Macaca fascicularis: one gene and its partners. The protein of the gene in region 1 interacts with the protein of each later gene in a biochemical or structural test. Links are inferred from orthologs where the notes say so. Each region holds a gene or a part of one and is shown on either strand. Other genes may lie near its edges.

Region 1 (3,718 bases):
AAAAATATTACTGTAAAATTATTTTATACATATGATTAAAATATATAAAATTAAAGAAAAATAAAACCTCATTTTTTTTCCCACCATCCAGAGAAAACCTTGGGTTATGTCCCATAAGAATATGAATACATATAAACACACGAACACATACACACACACCCCAAATGGGATTAAATGTATATATTTGTAAAAGTACCTTTAAGTTTGTTGTGTTCCGAGTCAGCTGGGAAAAGTACATCAGGGAAGAGTTTCTCGAAGCTATATCCAGCATATTTAGGTCTGTTTTCAACATAAGTCCTTACTGTTGGTTGCAGTTTCTTCATGAATTCAGGACATGGTGTTCCAAGCTGTTCAATAACTTTATTCCACTGATCAATATCTAATATCAAGTAGCTAAGAAAAATACTCCATAACTAATGTTCAACACATTAGTCATAATCATATTATAAGAAAATGGAAATTTTAAAAATCCTAAGAAAGGATGTGGCAGTTACAAATTTTATATCTCACAAGCACCTTGCAAAAGGCAATGATTGTAGATGGACAGAAATGATCAATAAATAAGCTTTGTTAATCTTATTTATTGTGTGTGTTCATACTAACTGATTTTACCTTAAAATGGAAGCTTAAACTCACAAAGTCTAAACAAAATTATAAGTAACTAAGAATAATGACAATTACTATCCACAGTGGCTCTAACTGCAAACGGCACACAATGCTATAATAATACACAAAATGTTTCCTTTTCTGTCAGTTTATCAGAAAACATGATTGTATCTCCTCGACTATTTCTAGAACACATCCTGTTTTACTAAGTTTTCTACACTAACAGAAAATAACCAGTTGCAATAAAAATAAAGGCTTCTATAAAAGCGGCATTATCTTTTGCCATTCTTTGTTCAGTTTATGTTTAAAAATTTTTTCTAAAGCTCCGATGCCTATAAAAAAGATTGTTTTTTGGTAAGTTGTAAGGTTGGGATTTCTTAGTCTCCTTTCCTCTAGTCTTTACATTCCAGGAACCTGAAGGCCAAGACCTAAAACTCACTTATCGTAATCTTGTGAATATGGCTTTTTCCATTCTTCCTCCTGAAACAATTCTAAATGTTACTAGCTGATAAACACATAACAAATCACTGTTAATATAAATATTAAAAGTAGTGGGATGAACAAAAAGCATGAATCCAAAGCTATCGTCACCATATAAAACTACTGCTGAAATTCTCAGATGAAAGGGTATGTTATGTGAGTAATGAGACAACAATCAAAAGACATAAACCACATAGAACATTAACAAAAAGGAGGTGGGGAACAAAACAAAAGGATGGCCAGAAGCAACAGACAGCTCCAAAATTCATATTAAGTTGTACGTATTTCTAGACTTAAGTGTATAATTATTAGAAATTTTTAATGCAAGCCATGACTTTTGATTTAGGTTAAATAAATCAACTCAAAGCCAGCAAGTAATTGTGCACAATTACAATTGAGCAGGGTTCTGAACTAACATATGAAACAACAAATGAGGGAAAGAAAAGTCTATGTCAAATAGTAGGTGGTATTTTAAGAGTAATTTAACAATATATTAGGGAGAGACAAAATACATTACACCTGACCAAACTGAAGTGCTATCATACATTTTGACCTTTAGAAACTACATTTTAGGCCAAAGATAAGGATACGATCTGTACCTGGGAACAAAACACCACCTTTGATCATTTCTCCCATGATGCACCCAACTGACCAAATGTCAACTGAAAACAAAATGCAATGACATTAACATAAAGATTCTGGTTAAAATAAAAAAAAAATAAAGAAAATCACACACACCATGTATACTTTAAAATTATAAAAAGCAGTATAAAATAAAAATGAGTGACAGTGAATGTGCTCTGACTACCAGCAGAGACTGTATGTCCTACTGCCAGATGCAGCCTACAAATATTTCAGCTTATCTCAACAATTTTTGAACTCTAATAGCCACAAACTTTATGCCTGTTTAAAATCCCATCTGTATAAATGTAGCATATTCATTTTCATTAGAGAACATAAAGAAATTCATCGCCTAACTAATTAACTGCTGCAGCAGCACAAGGATACAGTCCCTTCCTGGAAAGAGGATTTTGTGGCAAACCATTTCTCCCATAATGCACCCCACAGACCATAAATCCACTATGTGTTTGCAGCACAAAAGAAGGAAAAGCAAAGCAAAAGGTCATTAAAATCAAAGAAGCATAATATGACTGCATTATATAAAAACTGCAAAACATCACAAAAAGAAAAAAGTGATCGTAACTTTAGCTCATGGAATAATTTAAAACACAAATTATTTTTTGAAAGTCTTTGGTTCACAAAAGAAAATGTAAAGTGTGGCATTTTAACTACATATCTAATTTCAAAGTGAGAGCTACGCACAGAAATTGCATAAATAGAAAAACCCTGCATGTTTTGTCCCTGAGAACTTGTTTATAAAATATGAAACAGAACCAAACACGAACTTTGTAAATAAAAATGTACATGAGGTAGTAAAATTATAAAAATAAAATCTTTATACTATACTATTTAGAAGTTCAACTGTGCATTATACTCTCTAAGTTAAATAAAAGAAAAAAAGCATGAGAAAACAATTCAGCATATTCAAATATTTAACAAATAATCTCTATGAATAATTACAATAAAAAAGTTAATCTAAAGCTCTTTAGAATTTTTAAACTGGATTTCCCAAATATATTTAATTGAGAAGTGTTATGCTTGTTCTGAACTAAAAGTCCATTTGTTTTCTTGGCAACATGATGCCACATTTACCCTACTATCCCAAAAGGAACAAGTGCACAGAGAATTAACAACTAATCAAGGAAAACTGTAAGAGAAATGTATTTCATGTTTCCTAACTGAAGTTTTTTAAAGCCATAAAACCAAACTGCTTTTGATTTAAGAAGTTAGTTTTGGCTAGACACAGTATGACAGTTCTCACGAACTGACTATCTAGAGTCTCCTGGAAGACTTACTGATGACCCTTGCCAACTGTAAATGGGAATCCCAATCAATGTTGACAAGAATCTGCTAGACACAGAAACAGACAATTGGGAATCTCCACCTACTTAGGGAAACTGACTGTACACCGTGGCATTTTATGACTTTGGGTTTGGCTATCACACAAAAAGGAGAGAGTAAGTGCTTGCAGTTTAATAGGAAAAGAGGGAAGAATGAGCAATTTAGAAGGAAAAGCCTTAGAAACTTGCATTTGGTTGTGACATCTGAAGGTCCAAATTCTTTAAAATGACAAGAGGAAAACAGCACAAATAGATGTCAGAAAGAGACGTGCCCTTTACTCATGTTAAAGGACTTAGAAAATTAAAGCCTGTACTTTCTAATACAGTACATTCTTACTAAAAGGCTGCCAGTTCACTGAAGAATCTTAGGAGCTAAACTGGGAATTACTTTTGGAAATACTGTGGAACTAAAGTTTCCCTAAAATTTCATATTAAAATGAATGAACATTTTTATATTTATGTCATGGTTCAGCTTTCAAGGATAAGGTTTTAGAAAAAAAAGTTAATATTTATAAATTAGTGCCTCAGAGAAAAATTTTTTCTAAGGTTTTCCTTTTTGACAAAAATCTATTAGAATAAATCTTCTCTACAGATTTTAAAGAGAATGTTAAACTTTAAATATCCAGCATACAACTTATGTTGGTAACTTCCAGAAAAGCCTATTTTTAAAC
Region 2 (3,209 bases), on another chromosome or scaffold:
CCATAACAACCGCGGGCAGCCGGGCTGGCACGCCCTCCTGTGGAGGGACTTCTGGCTCGGCCTTGGTAGTTTCCGGCACAAACCCTCTCTCCCTGGCAACTTCCAACTCTTCCTTGGGCCCTTCCACTTTCACTTCTGGGGGCAAAGCCCGGCCCAAACCTGGCTCCACATTCAGCTCTTCCGATTTCAGGTTTGGGGCCTCGGGCGGAGTCAGGATGACCTGGGAGAGGAGCAGGTACAAAGAGGGTAAGGATTGTTGGGGCCACAGGATTCTCCTGTGGGCTACCCAGTGATTTCCCCGGGAAAGTGGCACTTGGTACTGGGGGCATCAGAGCAGGTTCTCCAACAGGACATAGGACTTCATCAAGGAAGTAGGGCTTCCTCTGGGGCAAGTCCTCCTATGGGACAGGGGACTTGGGGTAAGACAACCTGAAGCAGGTGGGAATCTGAGGGATACCATCCTCATTCATTAAAACAGTGGTTCTCAAAAATTTACCTTCCTCTGAACCAGCAACATCTGCCTCATTTGGTAACAAGTTAAAAATACAAATTATTGGGCCCCTCCCCAGCCCCACATATTCAGAAACTCTGGGGGTGTGCCTGGCAATCTGTGGTTTAACAAGCCCTACAGGTGATTCTGATGAGCGCTAGAGTGTGAGAACTAGTGCATTAAACAAATATATTTCAGGCACCTACATGTTCGGCAGCTACTAACTGTAGCACAGTATTCTCCCCTTTCTGTCTCAGGGTTTGTGTAGCTCTCTGCCCCATCCCTCCTTCTAAGAGGATGTCTGTGTTCTTCCTTCCACCATTATCTCCTTTAACAGGAGCACTATGTCTCTTCTACCAGCCTCCCTCATCATCCGGGGATTACACATCAGTCCTCTTTACTGCCTCCTCTTACTGGATTTCTATATTCCAGTCCTTACCTGCAGAGGCAAGCCGGCTTCCTCAGCCTCCAGGCAGGCCTCCAAGGGGCTTGGACTGGTGCTCCTGCTCCCCGAGGGGGGCGCTGCTGCTCCTGCAGGAGCTGCATTGGGGAGCACCACAGCAGGCCGAGGATGAGGGGGTGGCTGTGGCTGCAGAGACTGGATGGTGAAGGTGGAATAGAGGCCCGAACGCATGTACTCGTTCCGGCTGCTGCGTGCCAAACCACCCGGGCCTGCCATTCCTGCACCCTTGGGTGTGCCTGGCTTTCCAGAGGCAGTGTCCCCTGGGGTGGCATGTACAGCAGCAGGGGCCACATTTGGCATGGCGGAGGTAACAGACACCTCTGGCTGGGGCGGGCAGTCCTCAGTGGAGCACCCTGCGACCTCAGGATAGGACACAAACTTGTAGACGAACTTCTGGCCGCTCACCTTGCGGATGATGTTCTAGAAAGGGAGGAGAGGAACAGAGGGCCTGAGAGGAAAGGGGCAGGCTGGAGGCAGGGTGTGTGTATGTCGGGGTGGAGTGGTGTTTCTCTTCTCCTAGTGGCTCTCTTCCCACTTGCCCCTCTCTGGCTTTCCTGTCCCTCCTCTGTAAGTTCCCCTCTCAGCCTATCAGCCCATTTCCTCTCCCGTTGGTTTCTACCTCTTTCCTCTCCCCCTAGATTCCCCTTATCTATACCCCTCCCTAGTTCCTCCCCTTTCTCTCTTCTCTCCACAACAATTCTTTCTTTAAGCCCCTTCCCATCCACCCCTTTCCAAGCCTCCCTCTGTCACTCTCCAGGTCTATCTATCTGATTTTCCCACCCCCTCCACACTGTGGCTCCTCTTCACAATGGGGCCCGTGAAGGGAAGGTAGTAGGTGTGGGAGCAAGTCTTCTTGGCTCCAAGAACCAGGAGTTCACAGGCCAGGCCTTGTGGGTGACTGTCAGGACACAGTTTTGGAGACTAGCAAATGCAGTAAGACAAGAAAATGAAGTAACTGATATAAATGTTGGAAGAAAGTAAATTAATATAGATGGATGGGGCGATGAATTATTAATACAGAGGATTATTTGAAGCTAATGACACAGAAGTGGAATAGGGCAAGGTCACTGCAGAGGAGAGGGCGAGGAGGCCTCATTATTAATACCACTGTGGAGGTTGAAGCTAAAGCGGTAAGAAAATGAAGTAACTAACAGCAATTAGACAAGAATATTAAAAATACTGGTATAAATATTGGGAGAGGGCCTATATCAAGGCTGGCTTGGGTGGGTCACAGAGCATGTTTGGGGTTTTTCAGGTCTGGTGGGTCTCAGAGATGACCTAGCGTTCCCAGAGGGCACAGTGAGGGAGCCTCATTACTAATATTGTTCTGGAGGGTTGAGCTCAAGGAATAAAATATGAAAGTGGAATAAATGCCATAAACTATGAAGGGTATGCAGCATAGGTCCAGGGCTGTTCTGGGGGGCACGGGCAAGAGGAGTGTGGGAGCACTAGGGCATTCTGCGGAAGTCTTAGTGCTGGTCAGATATGTCACAGGGTGGGCCCGTGTTTCTCAAAAGAGGAACGAAAAGGGATATTCATGAATATTGTTTGGAAGTTTCAGCAGGAGGAATAAGAAGATGAAATAACTTGTATAAATATTGGGGGGAGGGGAAACCCAGCAGTGGCCTGGGGGTCTGAGAGGGCAGAATGGGGGAAATTTTAAATTTTAGCTGTAGGAATAAGATAATGAAAACAATTGATATAAATATTGGGGTAGACCAGTGCTGCTCTGGGAATTTAAGAAGATAGGGTGTGGAAGCTGGTACTAAACATGTTGTTGCAGAGGTTTTAGCTTAAGGAATAAGAAAATAATTGGTTAAAGATGTTGGGGTCCCAGAGGACAAAGTAAGCAAAAGTTGGTATAATACTGTCAGGGAGGTTTTGATTCTAGGAATATGAAATATTCTGGAATAAGAGAAGACTATGAAATAACTAGGGAAGCCCAGCACTGGTCTAGGGCTTCCAGAGGACAGAATGAGGACCAGCCATTATTAACCATGTTTTCAAAATGTTGGCTATAGGAATATGACACGAAAATGAAATGCGCATGGCAGGGCAGCATCACTGTGGGGATCTCAGAGTGGGAGTAGGAGTCAGTATTAATAATGCAATGATGGTTTTTGCCAAAGCAGTAAGACAAGAAAGTAGGTGAGATAGTGCTTAGGGGCCCAATACTGGCCTGACGGTACCAATGGATGGGTTAAAAACTGATAAATTTTAACATTGTTTTCAAAGTCATAGCTATGGCAATCAAAA
Region 3 (4,411 bases), on another chromosome or scaffold:
CAGCATTTTCTAGCCCTCTGCTCTGCCCTCCCCCCAACCTCCAGGCTAAGAGCTGAGAACCCCTTCCCAGGAAAGACAGTGCTCACAGCAGCTTTCTTAGAAATTGTATTGGTCCTGGAGAAAGGGAGGCAAGCAGCCCGCCTCCCGCTCAGAGTCCCCCCAACCCTCACTGTTTCCCGTTGCCATTGATGGGGAGGTTCACGTGCTCAGGGGAGGCCAGGAAAGCCTTGAGCTTGGGCCGGGCACTGAGGCGCGCCACATATGCCGAGAGCAGGGGGAACGCATCCAGGCAGCCGGGGGCCAGGACCTCATGGATCAGCAGCAAGTCCAGCAGGTTGTAGTCAGCGAAGGAGATCTGCAGGGCAGGCGGGCCGGGGACTCAGCCAGCGGGAGCAGGCTGGGGAAACTGGGGGCAGAGGGCCTAATCCCATCCCCTAGGTCTGCCCCACTTTGCTTGAACAAATGGCTCACACATATGTCCATCTGTAAGCAGACGGTGGCGAGGAAGGCACAGGATGGGGCCAGATGCTCACCTGGTCTCCCACAATGAAGGTCTTGCCTCCCTGGTTCTGGGACAGCAGGGTCTCAAAAGGCTTCAGTTGCCCGGGCAGTGCCTTCACATAGTCATCCTTGCCTGCCTCCTGCCAGACACCACCATGTATCATCCTCCTACTCTCATCCCTCCCAGCCCCTGAGACGCCCCCTTTGTCTGCCCCAGGCCAGAAACCAGAGTCTCAGAGTCTCCTCTGCTCGCTCCCTACAACCAGGCTAGTACCAAATCCTGTCCATTTCAGCTGCCAGTTCATCTCTATTCCATTCTGCCTGTCCATCCTTGCTGGGATTTCTCACCAGATGATTGCAAAAGCTTCAGAGCTGGCTTCTCTGGAGGATCCTTCCAGACCTCACATCCAGACACAGCCCTGTTCAGACTTCTCCATGGCCCCCAGGGCCCTTAGGAGACTCCAAACCAGTGGGTTCAAGGCCTTCGGGACCTGGGCCTGCTCCCCGCATCTCTATCTCCTTACCCACCCCCGACACACAAGGAAGTGTACGCGCGCACACACACACACACACACACACATACACACACACATACACACTCTGCCTCTGCTAAACTGGTCCCAGGTCCCCAGATGTGCTCTGTGTCTGCATACTTTGCTTAGCTAAAAGTGCCAGCACCTCCATCCAGAAACTGGTGACAGATCCTCCTCCGCCTCTGGCTACTCCAGGAAGCCCTCGCCACCCCAGGAGATCAGAAACCACCAGTTGCTGGAGGTCTCTGTCCTTGCACTCTCCCCCACAACCCGTTACTTGACTGGTTCATGTCCCAGGCAATGAGGGTGCAGGTTGTGTCTTGCCCCTGGCCCAGAGCTGACCCAGCCCCTGCACCCTGACCCAAGGAGGGGTCAGCCCGAGCCACGTGAGGGGTAGGGGGGTGAGGGCAAAAGCAGCTTCTTTCTTTGTTCAGCCCCCAGTGCCCAGCCCTGGTGCAGATGCTCACGTAGTTGGTGTAGATGAGGGAGAGGTATTTGCAGCGGAGGTCCTCCACGCCGTCATTCACCATGTCCACCAGGGCTGCCTCCCGCTGGTCCTTCCCATAGAGCCCTGGGGTTGGGTGGAGGGGAGCAGGCAGCGTGACTGGGCGCCTGATCAACACACAGTCACCGGGGATGGGCCAACCACGGGGCTGTCTGTGAGCCCCGGCCTGGGAGGAGGGGAAGAGGAAGTGCGTGGAAGGATGGGAGACTGCCACACAGGAGGTGCTCAGAGCTCAACTGGCACCTGAGAGGCAGTCTGGCACAGGGGAAGGGCTGCAGGCACCCAGGCTTGACCTTGGGCAAGCTACGCAACCTCAGTGGGTCTCAGTTTCCTCCACTCCAGAGGGCTGCGGGGCAGCTGATTGAAATAAAAGGGCTCCGGAGGCAGAGGCTTGCCCATCCCTGCCCTGGACTTGGAGGTTCAACACTCACCAAGAGTGCGGCCCAGGTGACGCAGGAAGGTATTGGACTGGTACAGGGTGAGGTCTCCGTCCTGGAACTTGGGGAGCTGCCCATACAGCTGTGTGGGGAGGCATGGCTCAGTGAGGGGCACTGAGCTTGGCCGTCCCCCGATCCTAGTCACAGCCCCCTAAGGCGCAGCACCCCCTCCCCTTGCCTGGGCATGGTCACTTACGCAGGAGGCTTTGAGAGAACCCTCTTGCCAGGTCTCCATTGTCACCACCTCCTCCTTCCAGCTCTGGCTCTGGTCTGCCAGCAGCATGCGCAGGGCCGCGCAGCGGCCTGTGGGGAGGGAGAAGCACGAGATGTGGGGACCGGGCAGACCCCGCCTCGCAGCAACCCGGAGGAGGGGTCAGGAGTGCAGGGAGGGTACAGGGGAACAGAGATTCCACACAAGATTGCACACAACACTGGGGAGGGGAGCAGGCATGGCGGAAGAGGCGGGGCACAGGGAAGGAGGCCCGGGGTAAAAGTCACACGACGGAGGGATAAGGGGGGTTCGGTTCTCTCCGCGTGCGCGAGGGACCGTGGGCTGCAGCCCTAGCCCCTGCCTCCCCTCCCTGCCAGAGGTTCCTACCTCGAACTGGGAAGTAGACCACGGTGTAGGGCGGCACTGCAGCGGACAAAGAAAGGTTTGCTGGAGCCCGGGGGAGGACGCCAAGGCGCGGTGCGCGCAGCCTGCCCTCCCCGGGTCCCATCCCTGCCCGAGGCGCTGCGGCCCCCTGAGAGCCGCTAACGGCACTGGGGACTTCCTGGGTACTCTGGGACCCCGTCCCGGGTCTCGAGGTGGGCGAGGGGCCCTGCCGGTAGCCCGAGCCTGATGCCGTGGGTTGGCCCCATGCTGGGAGATCCGAGCCCCATCCCCCGGGGGCGCGGGCCGCGAGGACTTACTAATGGCGCACGCGGCGGCGGCGACGACGAAACTCCAGCGCAGGCCTTGCGGCCTCCGAGCCTTATAAGGGTGGTCCCGCCCAGCTCCGCCCCAGTGCTGAGTCACGGCGCCGGCCGCGCCTCTGGAGGGTCCCGCGGGCTCCCGCCGGTCCCAGTCCCGGCGGCCGCTGCACCTGGCGTCGGCCGCAGAGGGGCGCCTCGGAGCTCCCGGAGTCGCCGCGCAGCTGGCCTGGGAAGCCTGTCCCTCTTCCCCAGGTGCCCAGCGGGGCCCAGGGAGTAAACGGACAGCAGGAAGAGGACTGCAATGAAGTGCGCACAGCTACTGGCGCTTCGGGGCATCGCGAGGGGAGATTCCCTAAGAACTCTGCGATCCCGGAGCTTGCACACGCGATTCGCGGGGCAGGGTGGAGGTCACTTAGGGGAGTGGAAATGGCTTTTATTTTATTTTATTTTATTTTGAGACGTAGTCTCACTCTGTCGCCCAGGCTGGAGTGCAGTGGCGCGATCTCGGCTCACTGCAACCTCTGCCTCCCGGATTCAATCAATTATCCTGCCTCAGCCTCCCGAGTAGCTGGTGCATGCCACATCTGACTGATTTTGTATTTTTAGTAGAGACGGGGTTTCGCCATCTTGGCCGGGCTGGTCTCAAACTCCTGACCTCAGGTGATTCGCCCTCCTTAGCCTCCCAAAGTGCTGGGATTACAGATGTGAGCCAACGCACCTGGCGCTCCTTCAACTTTTATTTAAAGTTCTGGGGTACATGTGCAGGACGTGCAGGTGTGTTACATAGGTAAGCGTGTGCCATGATGGTTTGCTGCACATATCATCCCATCGCCCAGGTATTAAGCCCAGCATCCGTAAGCTATTCTTCCTGGTACTCTCCCTCCCCAGCACCCCGCTCAACAGGCACCAGTGTGTGTTGATCCCCTCCATGTGACCATATGTTCTCATTGTTCAGCTGCCACTTATAAGTGAGACCATGTGGTCTCACTGGTTTTCTGTTCCTGTGTTAGCCTGCTGAGGCTAATGGCTTCCAGCTCCATCCATATCTCTGCAAAGGACATGATCACATTCCTTTTAGTGGCTGCACCTTAGGCTGTTTTCTTTGGCTTTAATGCCTGCTTTCTGTTGATTTGCAGATCTTCATTTATTCTAGATATTGATCTCTTGTTGGCTTTCAATATGACAGACAGCTTCTCCTATTCCATCAACTGTCAAGTTTGTCCAAGGAGTCCTTCATTAAACAAAACTCCTTAATTTAAGTGGAATCAAATTCATCAAGGGATTTTTGTGGTGGAGAAGGGGTTGGTGTTTACGTTTTGTGCCTTTAAAACTTCATTTAATGCAGCCGTAAAAAAGAACCAAGATCATGTCTTTTGTGGGAACATGGACGGAGCTAGAGGCTATTATCCTTAGCAAACTAATGCAGGAACAGAAAACCAAATACTGCATGTTCTCACTTGTAAGTGGGAGCTAAATGAAGAGAACTTATTATCACAAAGAAGGAAACAACAGACACTGTG
Region 4 (3,718 bases), on another chromosome or scaffold:
GTGCCCGATCTCAGCGGGCAGCCGGCCCCTGGAATTCTTCCCTGATGAGTGAGTGTCCCATGGTCCCCACTAGTGGCCTGCAGTGGGGTTGGGGAGGCCCTGTCCTGAGGCCCCTCCCCTCCAGGACCTGAAGCTGGACTTTGAGGGCAGCCTCCACCTTGCTGGCCACGTGCCAGGGGTCGTGACCTCTCCCTGCACACTGCCTGCCCCTCCCTGCAGTGGGGAGCTGGGCTGCTTTGGCTCCGAAGTGTTTGGTTCAGGATGTCCCTTGGCAGAGGCTGTGCACACCAACAGTCAGGGGGCTGCGCTGGGCTCCACGGTGGCCTCTGCAGCAAGGACCCATTTCAGACGTATGTGCAGCAAGGAGTCGCTGGCCGCGCCTGTGCCCTGGCGGCACTCCAGGTCCCGGTCTGTGGAGCCCTCCGTGACTGTGGCCGAAGAGCAGCCTCTGGGTCGAGCAGGTGCCAGCTGTGGCCTGCAAGCCCAGGGGCATACCCGGTGCTGGGAAGGCCACCCTCCCTAGCTAGGCACTCGGTGGCCGGGAAAAGGCGAGGATGGGCCTCCCTGCCGTGACCTCCCCCAGGGCAAGCCTGGGGCACTGTGGGTGCCTGCTGCTCGGCTGCCGCTCCCCCTGGACAGAGACATCACCCATCATTCTTCCACTCAGCGACTGCACGTCCTCCGCCCGTCGAGAGCAGAAGCGCGAGCAGTACCGCCAGGTGCGTGAGCACGTGCGTAACGACGACGGCCGACTTCAGGCCTGCGGCTGGAGCCTGCCCGCCAAGTACAAGCAGGTGCGGGCGGGGCGCTTCGGGGACAGGGCGGGGCCCCGCGGGGGCGGGGCGTAAGGGGCGGAGCGTGAGTAAGGGGCGGGGAGAGGGCGGGGCAGTGCCGGGTGTGGGAGGGGACGACGGGCGGGGAGGGGACGACGGGCGGGGAGGGGCGGGGCCTGGCAGGTCCTAGTAAGCCCCCTGGGCAGGGGTCTGGAGGGTCGGAGGAGGAGCCCTGCGGCTCCCACGCCCCCACCTGCCTCCAGTCTTGAGGTGGCTCTGCCGCAAGAAGCTGGCAGCTCGGCCTAAGGTTTCTGGAGGGATGGGTAGGAGCCATGGCTGGTGCCCATAGCGCCTCCCTGTTCCCTGCAGCTGAGTCCCAACGGGGGCCAGGAGGACACGCGGATGAAGAACGTGCCGGTGCCCGTGTACTGCCGCCCTCTGGTGGAGAAGGACCCCACCATGAAGGTGAGCGGGCGAGGACCCCGTTCAGGCCTGCTGGGCAGGCGGGAGGCTGGGGAGCGCCGGTGACACCCGACCCCGGCCCTGCCCTTGCAGCTGTGGTGTGCTGCGGGCGTCAACCTGAGCGGATGGAAGCCCAATGAGGACGACGGTGGGAATGGAGTCAAGCCAGCGCCAGGCCGCGACCCCCTGACCTGCGACCGCGAAGGAGACGGTGAGCCCAAGAGCGCCCACGGGTCTCCCGAGAAGAAGAAGGTGAGTATGGCGGAGGCCACCGGGCACCCTCCCTGGCTGAGTCTCAGGACAGCTCAGCTGCAGAGCATGCTGGGAGTGAGACACAGGACAGCAGCCGGAAGCAGGGCGGCACAGGGGCTCCTGGACTGCGGGAAGCAGTGTCTTCCCTCCCCAGGACTGAGCCGCCTTCTGGGTTTTCAGTAGGAATCTTGGCCCACGTGGCTGTGAATGGGGCTGCAGCTGGGGCGGCCCTCCCCTCCCCTCTCCGAGTGCCATCCAGTAGTCTCCGTCCCCTGGCTGGGAATGGGGCTGGGGTGGGCCCTCTTCCCCTCCCCCTCCCCTCCCACCTCCCTCATCCCCTCCCCCTCCCCTCCTCTCCTCCCCCTCCCCTCCTCTCCCTTTCCCTCTCCCCGACCCCCCAAGTGGCCTGGAGTGGCAGAGCTTGCTTCCAAGTGGTCAGAGGCTTAGTTTTATGGCCCGCTTGGGCCTCTTGGAGCTCAGCGGCTTCCTCTGTGGAGACGAAACCACGTATGCAAGCGCTTTAGAGTGCAGTCCTGAGTCCGCATTGCTCTGGCCCCGGGAAAGGACAGCCATGTCCTCTCAAGCTACAGTTAAGGCTGGATCCTGACAGATTCTGGGAGTCCCATGGCCCTGTGCTCCTGCCGGGTAGCCTCAAGCTCGGGCTCTGACCTTGATCCCGTGCCCTGAAACAGGCCAAGGAGCTCCCTGAAATGGACGCCACCTCCAGCCGGGTGTGGATCCTGACCAGCACCCTGACCACCAGCAAGGTGGTGATCATCGACGCCAACCAGCCGGGCACCGTGGTGGACCAGTTCACCGTCTGCAACGCGCACGTACTGTGTATCTCCAGCATCCCTGGTGAGCGGCTGGAGTGGGCGTTTCCACTTGGGCGCCACTCCCTTTTACTAACAAGCTAAGTAAAAGCCCAGCCACACAGCACCCACCTTCTCGGGGTGTCCTCTGGACACGGGAACATGGCAGTGGACAGTGGGAGGGGCGACACCCAGTCAAGTGAGGCCCTGGGCCCTGTTTCTGGGAGGAAGCTCGCAATGGCCTCGGCCTCTTCTTCCTACCTACTTGGGACCCCACGCTCACCTGGTTAGAGGGTGAGGGGTAGGCACGGCTCGCAGCTTGAAGCATCACTCGAGGACCACAGGAAAACATTTCCTCATGCTGAATGTGAAACCTCCAGCTGGGCCGAAATCTCACGGCCTCACCAGGGGCTAAGGGGGTGTGGGTGAGGAGCTTCATGTCACCCCTGTGAGCAGTAACCTTGGTGATGTTCTGGGCCAGCCCCAACACTGGGAGGACGAAGGGGTGCTGAGGGCTCTGCCAGGTCTCTGGTGTGAAACCACAGGGCCGTCTGGGTTCTTGAGGGTCTGCCACAGGATCACAAGTTGTTTGCTCCCAGGACCAGGGTCTTACTTCTCAGCTCCCCTGGCCCAGGGGCCCGCCCAACAGAGCAGGCTTGCTGGAGTCCCAGGCCTGCAGGCAGAGGGTCCTGGGTGGGCTGTGGGTGGAGCCATGTGTGGAAGCTGGGTCTGCTGGGAGAGTGGGAGGCCAGCTCCCACTCCCTCTGCCCCTGTATGAGTGCTGGGCACACCCTTGCAGTAGTGGGTTCCCCAGCACAGGCTGATGGGCCGTCCCTCTCCCCAGCGGCCAGCGACAGCGACTACCCCCCCGGGGAGATGTTCCTGGACAGCGACGTGAACCCAGAGGACCCGGGCGTGGACGGCGTGCTGGCCGGTATCACCCTGGTGGGCTGTGCCACCCGCTGCAATGTGCCACGGAGCAACTGCTCCTCCCGAGGGGACACCCCGGTGCTAGACAAGGGGCAGGGTGAGTCCTGGGTGAGTTTCCCCCATACCCTCATTCCCACCTTTCTGCCCAGCCCAAGCTCACCTCTCCTAACACAGGGGAGGTGGCCACCATCGCCAACGGGAAGGTCAACCCGTCCCAGTCCACAGAGGAGGCCACAGAGGCTACGGAGGTGCCAGACCCTGGGCCCAGCGAGCCAGAGACGGCCACATTGCGGCCCGGGCCTCTCACAGAGCACGTCTTCACTGACCCGGCCCCCACCCCATCCTCTGGCCCCCAGCCTGGCAGGTGAGCAGGAGCGGAGGGGAGGCTTGCAGAGGTGGGAAGGGCCTAGGGGTCTTGGGGCAGGTGCATGCCCCGTGGCCCCCCTGGAGCCACCATCCTTCCTGCAGTGAGAATGGGCCAGAGCCTGA
Region 5 (4,384 bases), on another chromosome or scaffold:
CTGGTTGGCAGGATTACTGTTTGCCTCAGGATAGGCTTTTCTCTCAAAATCATAAATTTCCAAAAACATAAATCACTTCCATGTGGATAAAGATGAGAAATTGTATTGATTTTTCTGTTTTGTTAGAAAGAAAAAAGAGAGGGAAAGAGGGAAAGTGGGAAAGTGGGAAAGTGGGAAAGGGAAGGGAAGGGAAAGGAGAGGGAAGGGAAGAGGGAGGGAAGAAAAGGAGGGAGGGGAACAAAGAAAAAGCAGAAGGAAAGAAGGAAGGGAGAGAGGGAGGCAATATACCTTACATGCTATCAGAAATTTAATATTTAGACTTAAAATAACAAAAGAAAAAGTCTGATAAATTACCATGTATTTTAAATCACTAATTATATATCAACCTGACTCCTTAAACCAAGGAAATTGTTAGCCTGAAGAATAGAAAGCACAGAGATTTACTTTTTACCTGATTAACACTTTATATTAAAATAATCCAAAATAGCTGTTAATTCCTGTTAAATTCAGTCTCCACTTTTCTATAAAAGAAAAATTTAAATTATTTTTGGTAGAAAAGCTATTTTTTAATGTCAAAAATATTTCCTTATAACATTTTCAAGCCAACATACACAAAATTATTTATGTCAAATATTGTCACATAGAATCCAACATGCCAGATTCTTCAACTCTTTTATTCACCCCAGGCAAATTTCAGTTTGCCATAAATCTTCCTTATGGCCAAGTCCCACTAGACTTTTAATTTAATTAAACATTGAAAATATTTGCATTGTGTTTTTCCCATACTCCCAACCCTCCATCAACAGTGAATTGGGAACCCAGCTATGCATTAACCCAGAGTTATAAGGAAGCTGTACATATGTATGGAGCTCAGTTTCAGTTTGCTGGGAAGAGTAGGCAATAGCAATTTGCTGCAATGCATTCCATGGTTAATGTCACCAAAGATGTCAAGTGAGCAAGTGACAATGGGGCAGTTGGGGCAGAAGAGGGGGAGAGGAATAGCAAGATCCCTAAGTGGAAGATTGTCCTAAGTTTTTATCAAATACCCACTAGGGAGATCACTGAATTCTCACCAATCAATCTGGCAGTGATTTGGACACCAAGGCGCAAAGGCAGATGGGATCCCCTTAAGTTCACTTTATGCAAGGCTTCCCCAATGCAAAAGGAATTATATTTGCAGGAGAGGATGACAGCATTGTGAGAATAGAAGGGATAGTGACTGGGCAGATCAATACTGGAGCTGTTTCACTTCCTTGCTAATTCTGTTTCACAGTGAGAAAACTGGATATGTTTCCTTCCTCATCTCTCTTTCCCTATATAAAAATCTGTGTTTTATTTCAACTTTTATATGCAAATTACCAGAGCTAAGAAAGGCTTGAACCTGAGTTAAGGTAAAAGAGGGGGGAAAAAAGACACATCCCAAACCAGTTTCATTTATGTAATGAAAATAAATTTTTACACAATCAACAGAAACACACCAAGATTTTTTTTGCGAAAAATATTTTTAAATAAATTTTTCTTTTTTTCTTACATTCTGATATACATATGTAACAAGGTTTATGGCACTGTAACCAGAATCAAATCAGAAAAAAAAAAAAAAAAAAGGAAAAAGGTGGGAAGGAAAGTAATTGATATATTGTTGAATTCCTTTCTATCTCCAACCTGGCAAATTTGCACTATTTGTCTACCATTCAGCTGCCAGCTCTAACTTGTTTGCACACTTAAAACATCATATTATTGCACAAGAAGCCAGTGAAGGCATATGGTATAATGGTCAGTTCCTCACTATTTCAAAAAAAATCTCTTAAACCCAGAGAAGGAAAAAAAAAAAAAAATGCAGAGCATGAAACACACAAAATCAAAGGTATCCTTTGTCTTTTTAAAGAATGCCTGAAGGATTCTTAGACCACTTAAGCTGCCCTGATCTTCTCTTTGCACCAGTGAGCACAACAGGGCTTGGTTTGGTTGGGTTTTTGTTTTCTATGTGGACAGCCCAGGCGGGTCCCAGGCCTTGGTGATTCAATGTCTTTTCTATTTACTTTTGGTTCTTTTTAATTGGTTTAAAGTGTGTAGTATTTTCGGTCTATGAACCTGCACAGACTATTTAGTCATAAACTCTACAAATAGCTTAAAAGGAAAAGGGGGAGCAACAAGTTGTATTATATTTTTATTGTTGGCTTAAAAAAATTACTTCTTTAACCTCCTGAATTTGTCAGTTTGTGGGAGGTGAATCTCAATGGCGTCAAAAGTTATAGTCTTCTCACACTTGTTAAAAATAAAGTGTTTAAACAAGTTTGTTTCCATTCACAAACTTTACTCCCAACTAAAAAAAAAAAAAAGAAGAAGAAAAAAAACCAGAATCCATCCTCCTTCCTCATTGTCTCCTAACGGAGAGCAGCAATCCTTTCCATCCAGACCATTGTCACACAACCGTCTCCACACCCATCAGCTTTGGTGTAAGGATTCTCGGTGTCACACCGTTGTTTAGGTCTTCCTCAAATTCTAGCAACTGCCCCATGAAGTTAAGGTTTGGTGAGATAATTGGTCGTTTGCCTTTGACAAATTTATAAGCATCAGTCATGGTCATCCGAGTGTGCTTCATCAAGTAAGCGATGACGATGGTGGCAGAGCGGGACACCCCAGCCTGGCAGTGGATGAGAAGCCCCTTCCCACACTGGTGAGCTTCCTCTGAAAAAAGGGAGAAAGACAAGAGATGAAGGGCAGATGGAAGGGAGAGGCACGGAGAGAGAAACTTTTATCTAAATTTTGCAATGCCTTATTTTGTAGAGAAATAATGAATTAAAACTGTTTTAAAGCCAAGTATAATCTACTAGTTCATTATATATATTTATGTCACAACTTCCAGAACTGGCTAAAGTTGATAGCAGCATGAACAAGAAGCTATACATCTACATTTAAAGAGAGGGAACAGTTTGCTTCACAGGTGACAGTGGCCTGAAGCCAGACCTATAACACAGTTAACTTTCACGCTGAACAAGCTACTGATTAAGTCAACTCTAACAGTCATTGAACCTCTCTCTTAAATGTCTTGTTCTCTTATTTTCTGGAATTATACTACTGAAAAAAAAAGAATGAAGGAAAAGGAGAGAGGGAGGGAAAAATTATACCAACACATGAAAATATACACTCACACACACATATATATATATGTATGTGTATGTGTATGTGTGTGTGTGTGTGTATATATATGTTATATATATATATATATATATAACAGTTCCTCTTTGGATTAAGGATGTTAATTCCAATTTTTGGTTGTGTGACTTAACAAACCTAAAGCTAGTAACAACAACTCTCTCACTTGTAATAGAGAAAAAAACACTTTCTTTATTCTATAGAATTGCTCTGTACAGGAACGGGAATTAAATGGATAAGAGTTTTAGTCTTACTAAACCCTGATTAAGGTTAAAGGAATAAAGCTAAACTAGAAACATGCTATGTTCAGCTTCTCCCCAGAAAATCCAGTTGTTGCAAAGTTAACTAAAGGCCAGTAGCATACAGGCCCAGGGTGTCACCTCTCAAGCGTTCAACCCCATTTGCATCCACGTATGACATTCCAATGTGGCAATAATGCAGAAGATGGAGGAATCCCAGCAATGGTTCAAAATCCAGAGCAATTGAAAGAGGAAGACTTGCTAAGTTTTCAGATATATTAAAAGCTCAGGACAATAGCGTGTGGGCACTGCCTGAACAGATTCTTAACGACATTTCTAGACTCTAACGCATCTCTAAGCAAGCTTCCTTGAAGGAACACCAATTAGATAAACAGGTAGGGAAGGAGAAGGAGTAGAGAGAATAGCGATTTCACCTAAACTACATCTACTGGCTAGCCACCAGTGGACGAAGGAAAAAAAAAACCTGATATAAATTTTCATCTTAAAAGTTTACAGATGAGGTTTACTTCTCATAGTCAACAGTATTTCAAGAAAAGTAAGCATCTCTCTTTTTCCAACCTTTTCCCTTCAGTGCACAGTATTGAGCTCCAAATCAAGACCAGAAAGCATGGTGATGAGAGAATGAGCTTCCAAGTGCCTGGCTGGACCACTGGTTCCACTACACACACTTGATTCAGGAATAAACAAACTGGCATAAACACTAAACTTAGATGCTGCTTAATTTATATTAGACTCTCAGTGAAAGCTATTATGTTTATAAAACCTGCTGTGTTTTTCCTAACGCAAGACTGTAAGATTTCAGTTTATCCAATAACATAACGATGAAAATAAAATTGCGCCTATGCAGGTTGTGATTTGGAGTTGTTCTTCGGGCTGAATGCTATTTGTTATTGGTCTCGTTTTCCTTTAAAAAAAAAAAAAAAGGCAGGTAAGCCTGAGTAATCTATAAGGAATGTGAGAGCTTTGGT
Region 6 (3,808 bases), on another chromosome or scaffold:
GAGCAAAGGAGCCAAAAACATCCTGGATGTTGCACGGCAGCTTAACGATGCCCATTAACTGGTCTGTGGGGCACAGATGCCTCGGTTGCTGCTGTCCAGTGCCTACATCCCGGCCCTCAGTGCCCCATTCTCACTGCTGTCTGGGGAGTGATTACCTCAGAAGACTGAACTGCAGGGTTCAAGCCTTCCGGGGATTTGCCTCAGTTTGGGGCCTTGATGACTGCCTTGCCTCCTCAGTATGTGGGGGCTTCATCTCTTTAGAGAAGTCCAAGCCACAGCCTTTGAATGTAACCAACTCTACTAATAAACCAGCTCTGAAGGTGTTTTTGTGTGTGTGTGTGGGGGGGTTGGCGGGAAGATATGAACAAACACAAAGCCCTTTCATCCTTACCTCGGAGGCTGGGACTTTTGCCCAAAGTTCTCCTGGTACATCCTTTCTGCTTCTGCCTCAATAGTTTTCATTTCACACAGAATAAATTGTCTCGCAGGAACACCAAGAAACAGAGCCATAATCTTAAATTCCTATGGTTTGCTCCTTCTTCGGTTAACAGTAGAGCCTATTTATATTGCATGCCCCTCCCACCCCCACTATCAGGAAAGTATAGAAAGTCACTAATCCTACAACTCTCTTGCAAAATGAAAACAAATGCTCCATTTTTAGAAAAACAATCCTTTAATAAAATTAGTTCATCTAAAACTCCCCAATGCCTAAGGTTCTAGTCTTGGAAGGGTTAGCTGCAAAATTCCAGTTCGGAAGCCAACGGAGGCTCAGTCCAGACAGGGATTAACCGACTTGTGCTGGTATCTAGGTGCTTGGATTGCCGAGTTGAGTTTGCTGGAAGGGAAATGGGGAGGCCCGACAGGCTTGGCTGCCAGTCGGCTTCCGCGAAAACGACTCTTGCTGTCCACATAGCCAGCCGTGAAGCCAAACTGCAGGCCTCTGCCCTCCCCTAAATGTCCTCGCAGGAGGCAGTCACTCGGGAGGAAGATGTGCCTGTTACCAAGTGCTTCGTCCCGGCCCCAGCGCAGACCTATGAATGAAGATGGAGGGAGATCTGATGTGAAAGGCCTGGGTCCCGGCCGCAGAGGGGGCGCCAGACCGAAACCAGCGATCGTGTCTCTCCCACCAAAGCCTCCAGGCCAGCGGCCACGTCTGAAAGTCCTGGGCTAAGCACCACGCCGGGGGAGTACCGGACACCCTGGCTGCAGCTGCCGAGGGCCTCACTCACCTTCAGGGCCGCCGGCCTCTCGGCCTGGACTGCCCACCTCGGCCCTGCGTCAGAGCGGAAGGCCAAGTCTTCCAGAAGGTGCTGCGGCCTCCCCGCAGCCCCTCAGCGACTCAGGATGGGGCAGCTGGCTGAGTCACGAGCGCCGAGGCGGGCAGGTGCGGCGCCGCCGGCCTCCCCCCGGCAGGCTCGGGTCCTCCGCGCCACGGTGGTCCCCGAAGAGTGCCCAAGCCGCGTCCAGAGGGCCCGAGCCCTACCGGAGGGCGGCCGGCGGATGGGGCAGGGCCCGAGGCCGACGCGGCAGGCGGTGCAGGCCAGGAGGGGGGCGGGCGGGGACTCGAGGCCGGGCGGCAAAGGCGGGCGATGGGAGGGGAAAGGAGCCGGGAGCCGCGGCCCGCTTGCCCCGCAGTCTGAAGTGGCTCAGCTCTTTCCATGAGGGCGGTGGTGGCCCTTAAAAGGGCCTTTGTGGTGGCATGGGGAGGCCTGGCGGCCGGCCGCGGCGCGGGCCCTCTTAGTACTCCTGGGAGGCCTGGGTGGCCTTCTTGCCGCCCGAGGGCGCCTTCGGCCCCACGGTGGCGCTGGTCTTCTTGGGCAACAGCACGGCCTGGATGTTGGGCAGGACGCCTCCCTGGGCGATCGTCACGCCGCCCAGCAGCTTGTTGAGCTCCTCGTCGTTGCGGATGGCCAGCTGCAGGTGGCGGGGGATGATTCGCGTCTTCTTGTTGTCGCGGGCCGCATTGCCCGCCAGCTCCAGGATCTCAGCGGTGAGGTACTCCAGCACTGCCGCCAGGTACACGGGCGCGCCGGCGCCAACGCGCTCGGCGTAGTGGCCCTTCCGCAGCAGCCGGTGTACACGGCCCACTGGGAACTGGAGGCCGGCGCGCGACGAGCGCGACTTGGCCTTGGCGCGGGCCTTGCCGCCAGTCTTGCCGCGGCCCGACATGCTAGCGAGGTAGACCGGTGAAGTACAACGGTTCAGAGACAACCCAACAGAAGCCCGCCGCAGTGTAACTGCTGTCGCGCGCGCGCCGTGAGGCCGCCTTTATAAGCCCCCAGGACACACCTCTGCGCCCTCCTGATTGGCTCTTTTCTCCAATACCCGCCTCCGGTTGGTTGCGGTTAACCCTTGGGTGTCGCGCCTCGGCTGAGGGAGCGCGCCCGCTGATTGGTCGAATTTGAAAACCTTTTGCCCGGGGAGAAAAGGCGAGGAGGCGGGGTAGCACGCAGACGGCCAAACACCCGCTGATGTAGCCAATCCTTGTAAAGCGCGCGAGATTTAAACACTACAGTCGGAAGGCAGAACCGGAAGACAAAAGGGGTGGAGTCTGAGGCCACCTAGAGAGCGTCTGGGAAATCTGTGCTGGCGTAGGATGTTTAAAGGAAAGGGGTCAATACTATAGCTACCCTTTCCAGGTCCGGTCACTCCACACTCCCTTCTCCTACCTGACAAAGGGAGAATGGAAAAGGGAAGAAATTAGACCCCTTAAAGTTTTCTTTTTCTTTCTTTCTTTTCTTTCTTGTTTTTAATAGACCAGGTCTTGCTTGCTGTCACCCAGGCTGGAGTGCAGTGGTGTGATCTCAGCTCACTGCAAGCCTCGGACTCCTGGGCTCAAGGGATCCTTCCTGCTTAACCTCCCGAGTAGATGGTACTACAAATGCTCCACTACAGTGGGCTAATTATTTATTTTTGTAGAGACGGAGTCTCGTTTTGTTGCCCAGGCTGTCTTGAATTCCTGAGCTCAGGCAATCCTCCTGCCTCGGCCTCCTAAAGTGCTGGGATTACAGGCATGAGCCACTGTACCTGGTGTCTTTGAAAGTTTGACCCCATGCCAGGAAACAGGATAACTTCAATTTTGTGGCCCTCCATGCCACCTGAAGTATCAGGATTTAAATGTTTATTCAATATGTTCTGTTTGGTCTCAGTTCTGTTCACTTCTTGTTAGACGGGGTCTGGTGGGGCAGAGAGATAGGCATCCTGTTGGAGGAAGTACCCCCACCTACCCTCCCAATCCACCCAAAAATGCCCATATAGGAAATATACCTACAGGAACAATAAGAAATAGACAACACTTTATTGTCTCCATTGAGAGCATGTGGCCCCCTGCTTACTTCTTACTAATCAGAACACTTAATTTACAATCAAATAACAGGTCACTGTGGAGCCTGTGTCCCTAGCCCTGGCCCAAGTTCTATCCCAAAAACCAGTAGTTCCTTGAGAGTCAGGACTCTGAAATGTGACTGTGGATAACTGCAAAAAAAAAACTTCTGTATCCCACCCTGTGAGGCTGCAAAGACAGGATGGAGAGGGAGAGTAGCAAGTTGCAGAAAGTCATAAGTAAAATCCAATCAGTAGACAGTAGGGGGCAAGAAACGCCCAGGATGCCAGTGATCACAGGGAAAAGAAAATGCTGAGAACAAAATCTGGAAGAGTATGAAGAGTGAGAGAGGCCTGGGCAAGGAGGCAGTCTGGGACCAGAAAGAGGTCAGCCTGAGTCAGGAATCCTAGAGACTGTGAGGTAAAGGACAATGATCAAGGGACTCAGACATCATAGAAGAGTCGAACGAGCTGATATCGAATGGAG
Region 7 (3,718 bases), on another chromosome or scaffold:
AAGGCACGTGGGGTGGCGTATGAGAGTGCACATGTGCACACGTGTTCCCAGGCGGGGGTCAGAAGGGCAGCGTGTCCATGAAGATCTTGTCGATGATGGGTGGAGGGGGCACCAAGTCCTCCAACTTGAGGTAGAATATACGCTGCAGGCCCTGGGTGCACAGGGTCCGGAGCTCGGGCAGTTTGCCCAACAGACGTGACAGGCAGCTGGCCGGCTGGGGCTCGCCCGCCACAGCTGCCACGTGCTCCTTCAAGCAGCTGGCGATGCGGTTCTGCAGCTCCTCCACCCGCCGCGGCTCCTGCAGCCCATGCCGGTCTGCGGGGAGTGTACAGGATTAGCCGCACATCTGACAACCAGGCCCCCAAAGCCCCAGCCTCCCCAGGCCCCTAAAACTGCTGCCCCGACCACCCCTCAGGCTCTGCTGGCACTTCACAAAAGCGCGTTCACATGTTGGCCATTAGTAAGCATCATCACAAGTCTGAGAGGCAGTAACCCTCATTATCCTCATACTCCAAGTGAGAACCCAAGGCCCAGGAGGCTAATGACTTGCCCAGGGTCACAGATGGGAAATAAAATCCTAACCGAGGTTTTCCGGCTAGATCATTGGGTTTTTAAAATCTAGACTGTTCTGAGAAACTCAGCCTCAGAACTCAACACCCCTCAGCCCAGAGTACCTCTGATTGTGTTCTATATAGTGGGGTCCCCTGTGCAATTGAAGTGAAAAAAGGAACGAGGGTGGATTCTTTCCTTTAAAAAACAGAGATTTGAAAACCTCTGCATTCAACACCAGATTCCATCCTGCAGAACTACATTTACATAAAGTCCAAAACAGGCACAGCCAATCTGATCTGCACTGTCAGAAGTCACAGTGAAGGGCTGGGCGTGGTGGCTTATGCCTGTAATCCCAGCACTTTAGGAGGCTGAGGCAGGAGAATAACTTGAGCCCAGGAGTTTGAGACCAACCTGGGCATCATAGTGAGGTACCATCTTATTTTTTTAAATTTTTAAATAAAAAGTAGTGGTTACCCTTGGGGAAGGCAAATGACTGGAAGGGGCATAATAATGGGTTCTGGGGGGCAGTTATGTGCTCTTTGTTGACCAAGGCGCTGGTTGGGTAAGTGTGGTTTATAAAAATTTACCATTTGTGTACTTTTCTATATGCAGCAAAATTGACAGGAAGGTTTTCAAAACAAGCCAATACCCTTGGCCGGGCGTGGTGGCTTACAACTGTAATCCCAGCACCTTGGGAGGCAGAGGTGGGAGGATCATGAGGTCAGGAGATCGAGACCATCCTGGCCAATATGGTGAAACCCCATCTCTACTAAAAATACAAAAAACTAGCCGGGCGAGGTGGCGGGCGCCTGTAGTCTCAGCTACTCGGGAGGCTGAGGCAGGAGAATGGTGTGAACCTGGGAGGCAGAGCTTGCAGTGAGCCGAGATCACGCCACTGCACTCCAGCCTGGGCGACAGAGTGAGACTCCATCTCAAAACAACAACAACAACAACAACAAAAACAAGCCAATACCCTAGGCCACATACATGACACCTGCAGTCTAGATCCTGGCAGTCTGGGACCAAAGGCTGTCTTGGGCTTTAGAGCTGGATGCAGCTGAGCCCATCTCCAATTCCTATGGTCCCTACTTTACTGTTGGTATGAGCCCGGGGCAGTGCAGGGGCCCAGAAAGTGCTAGATCCCAGCTCACCAAACTCCCTGGGACAGTGCCCTCCTGAGAACCAGTCAACTCCCTGACACCCACTCCCTTGGACCTGGTGTGGTGCTGGTCACTCACCGGTGATGAGGACAAGAGCAGAGAGGCAGGCGAAGGCAGGGACATCGACAACCAAGCTGTGCAGGGACCTTGAGAAGGCCAGGATGCTGTCAATCCAGTCGCCGAAGCCACGGGCACACTGCAGCCGGTGTAGCACCAGGCCTGAGCAGAAGATGAGCTTGCCCTCTCCTGGCTTAGACCTGGCAGGCAGATGGGCACGAAGAGCGATCAGGGTGGTTCACAGGCAGGTGTATCAGGGAAAGGGGCTGGGCAGACAGTCGGCAGCTCTCACCTGTATGCCAGGCGGAGGATGAAGAGCTCCAGGAAGGCTGACTCCAGCAACAGGTCCTGGTCAGCTGGTGACAGCTCAGCAAAGCCAGGGATCTTCTCCGCCCACTTGCGGATGACCTCCAGAGAACCGGAGAGCAGGTCGTAGAACTGCTGTACATCCCCAGCATCTTCCTTCCCAAAGCGGGGCAGCACCAGCTCCTGAAACTAGGAGGATGGTCCAGTGGGGTCAGCACCCCAGGCAGGGTCCTGCACCCACTGCCACACACGGCTGTGTCAGACACTTGGATGCCAGATCCTGGGGGTGGGAGTGGATGTGAGATCCTGCCCAGGCTCTCGCTTGCCAAGTCTCACATATTAACCCAGGGCTGCAGCTGCCAACAGGACACATTTTTCTAATTGGCCACCTGCCTGAGGGGTTGCATTTTCCCATCTGGTCAGCCCAGAGGGGGCTCCTCTCTTTGATCTATCAAACCGGAGGGGGTAGCTTTTCTTTCTTTCTTTTTTAAACTTCCTTTCTCATTCTATCCTTCTGGAGGGGACAGCTCTCCTAACATGCACAAAGGCACTGCATGTGCTCATAGCCCTCCCCGAGGCAGGCATGGGGTGGGACCTCACCTTGGAGTAGTCCAGTTTGGCAGTGCTGGGCCCTGAGTCCAGGTGTGCACGGACCAGGGAAGTGAGGAGATTGGCAGGGGAGGCATCTGGAGGCTGCTTGGGTTTTGAAGGTAGCCGGCCCCGCCGCCCCTTCAGGCTGTCTGTTCGGACAACTGCAAAGGAACGGGTAGGGGTGAGGAAGGAAGGGATCTGAGGAAGGGCCTCTCAGCCCAAGCCGCGCACACCACTGCTGAGATGCGCCCCACCGAGTCCCTAGGACCCAAAGCCCCTGAGATCCAAGGTACCCTACAGGGACCTCCCCCTGCCACCACCCTCACAATCCAGGCAGGTGTAGGCTGCCTCCCTCCAAGGCCTGGGGTTCAGAGATGGGGTGGAAATAAGACGTGCCCTCCCCTGGGTCATCCAGGGCAGAAGCCTGGGGACCCTGCTGGTCCCACTCCAATTAAGCCTACCCTTGCCCCGCTGGGCTGCACCCCAGCCACATACCTTCCTTCACCATGCCCACCGCCAGGCACTTCTGGAAGCGGCAGAACTGGCAGCGGTTTCGCCGCCTCTTGTCCACAGGGCAGTCCTTGTTAGCCAGGCAGATGTACTTGGCGTTTTTCTGCACTGTGCGCTGGGTGGGGGGGCAACACGGAACAGGCTGTCAAGAGTGTGGGGTGGGGAGGGGGGAGCCTAGGGGAGAGGACCGTCCAGATCCTGCTGCCATTGCAGACAAAAGCACTCTCTGTTCACAGCTATTTTTCTAACATTTGGGTGGCAAGGGAGGGAGAGCTAGGGGGTTGGGGGGGAGAGAAAAGTCTTGAAGACATTGGGGGAGGTTTCTCCCTCTGAGGAAGACCCCAGGACACAATATCGGGGACCAGGGTCTCTCTGGCAGTCCAGACACCTGTATTTTTTCATGGGCTCTTGTCCGCCTGCCCTCTCCCTAGGGCAGATAGGAGAGGGCCAAAGGGCTGGGGGCGGGGATGGGAAGTTAAGCAGGCACCATCGCTGGGATAAACACACAGCCTGTTCCCAAGTCCACCCCTAGTCCTCAGGAA

The links.
Region 2: of the proteins of MAPK8 (region 1) and ELK1, one has a biochemical effect on the other in vitro, tested with the Homo sapiens proteins (3 studies listed by BioGRID). The link is inferred for Macaca fascicularis from reciprocal best matches to the Homo sapiens genes MAPK8 and ELK1.
Region 3: the proteins of MAPK8 (region 1) and GSTP1 form a complex in vitro, tested with the Homo sapiens proteins (2 studies listed by BioGRID). The link is inferred for Macaca fascicularis from reciprocal best matches to the Homo sapiens genes MAPK8 and GSTP1.
Region 4: the proteins of MAPK8 (region 1) and MAPK8IP3 form a complex in vitro, tested with the Homo sapiens proteins (3 studies listed by BioGRID, with this or other methods). The link is inferred for Macaca fascicularis from reciprocal best matches to the Homo sapiens genes MAPK8 and MAPK8IP3.
Region 5: the proteins of MAPK8 (region 1) and DUSP10 form a complex in vitro, tested with the Homo sapiens proteins (2 studies listed by BioGRID, with this or other methods). The link is inferred for Macaca fascicularis from reciprocal best matches to the Homo sapiens genes MAPK8 and DUSP10.
Region 6: the proteins of MAPK8 (region 1) and H2AX form a complex in vitro, tested with the Homo sapiens proteins (2 studies listed by BioGRID, with this or other methods). The link is inferred for Macaca fascicularis from reciprocal best matches to the Homo sapiens genes MAPK8 and H2AX.
Region 7: of the proteins of MAPK8 (region 1) and NR4A1, one has a biochemical effect on the other in vitro, tested with the Homo sapiens proteins (2 studies listed by BioGRID). The link is inferred for Macaca fascicularis from reciprocal best matches to the Homo sapiens genes MAPK8 and NR4A1.

The regions. Positions count from the first base shown.
Region 1 is NC_088383.1:57,631,418-57,635,135, reverse strand, and holds part of MAPK8 (mitogen-activated protein kinase 8), read right to left. Parts: intron 2,167-3,718; coding exon of another isoform or gene 2,095-2,166; intron 1,749-2,094; coding exon 1,677-1,748; intron 380-1,676; coding exon 197-379; intron 1-196. UniProt on the Homo sapiens protein: Serine/threonine-protein kinase involved in various processes such as cell proliferation, differentiation, migration, transformation and programmed cell death.
Region 2 is NC_088395.1:47,738,099-47,741,307, forward strand, and holds part of ELK1 (ETS domain-containing protein Elk-1), read right to left. Parts: intron 1,374-3,209; coding exon 930-1,373; intron 221-929; coding exon 1-220. UniProt on the Homo sapiens protein: Transcription factor that binds to purine-rich DNA sequences. Forms a ternary complex with SRF and the ETS and SRF motifs of the serum response element (SRE) on the promoter region of immediate early genes such as FOS and IER2.
Region 3 is NC_088388.1:6,783,370-6,787,780, forward strand, and holds GSTP1 (glutathione S-transferase P), read right to left. Parts: upstream 2,928-4,411; 5' UTR 2,890-2,927; coding exon of another isoform or gene 2,889-2,889; 5' UTR 2,696-2,888; coding exon 2,575-2,695; intron 2,280-2,574; coding exon 2,173-2,279; intron 2,059-2,172; coding exon 1,971-2,058; intron 1,606-1,970; coding exon 1,502-1,605; intron 642-1,501; coding exon 534-641; intron 356-533; coding exon 167-355; 3' UTR 93-166; downstream 1-92. UniProt on the Homo sapiens protein: Conjugation of reduced glutathione to a wide number of exogenous and endogenous hydrophobic electrophiles. Involved in the formation of glutathione conjugates of both prostaglandin A2 (PGA2) and prostaglandin J2 (PGJ2).
Region 4 is NC_088394.1:2,528,041-2,531,758, forward strand, and holds part of MAPK8IP3 (C-Jun-amino-terminal kinase-interacting protein 3), read left to right. Parts: coding exon 1-48; intron 49-667; coding exon 668-794; intron 795-1,142; coding exon 1,143-1,238; intron 1,239-1,328; coding exon 1,329-1,487; intron 1,488-2,179; coding exon 2,180-2,345; intron 2,346-3,143; coding exon 3,144-3,326; intron 3,327-3,403; coding exon 3,404-3,593; intron 3,594-3,697; coding exon 3,698-3,718.
Region 5 is NC_088375.1:79,702,919-79,707,302, forward strand, and holds the end of DUSP10 (dual specificity protein phosphatase 10), read right to left. Parts: intron 2,689-4,384; coding exon 2,423-2,688; 3' UTR 545-2,422; downstream 1-544. UniProt on the Homo sapiens protein: Protein phosphatase involved in the inactivation of MAP kinases. Has a specificity for the MAPK11/MAPK12/MAPK13/MAPK14 subfamily. It preferably dephosphorylates p38.
Region 6 is NC_088388.1:117,961,390-117,965,197, forward strand, and holds H2AX (histone H2AX), read right to left. Parts: upstream 2,246-3,808; 5' UTR 2,170-2,245; coding exon 1,738-2,169; 3' UTR 1,230-1,737; exon of another isoform or gene 1,032-1,229; 3' UTR 655-1,031; downstream 1-654. Other genes in the region: HMBS (porphobilinogen deaminase), read left to right, coding at 1-58; DPAGT1 (UDP-N-acetylglucosamine--dolichyl-phosphate N-acetylglucosaminephosphotransferase), read right to left, coding at 3,766-3,808. UniProt on the Homo sapiens protein: Variant histone H2A which replaces conventional H2A in a subset of nucleosomes. Nucleosomes wrap and compact DNA into chromatin, limiting DNA accessibility to the cellular machineries which require DNA as a template.
Region 7 is NC_088385.1:58,893,890-58,897,607, reverse strand, and holds part of NR4A1 (nuclear receptor subfamily 4immunitygroup A member 1), read right to left. Parts: intron 3,292-3,718; coding exon 3,162-3,291; intron 2,828-3,161; coding exon 2,676-2,827; intron 2,356-2,675; exon of another isoform or gene 2,265-2,355; coding exon 2,062-2,264; intron 1,970-2,061; coding exon 1,791-1,969; intron 316-1,790; coding exon 59-315; 3' UTR 1-58. UniProt on the Homo sapiens protein: Orphan nuclear receptor. Binds the NGFI-B response element (NBRE) 5'-AAAGGTCA-3'. Binds 9-cis-retinoic acid outside of its ligand-binding (NR LBD) domain.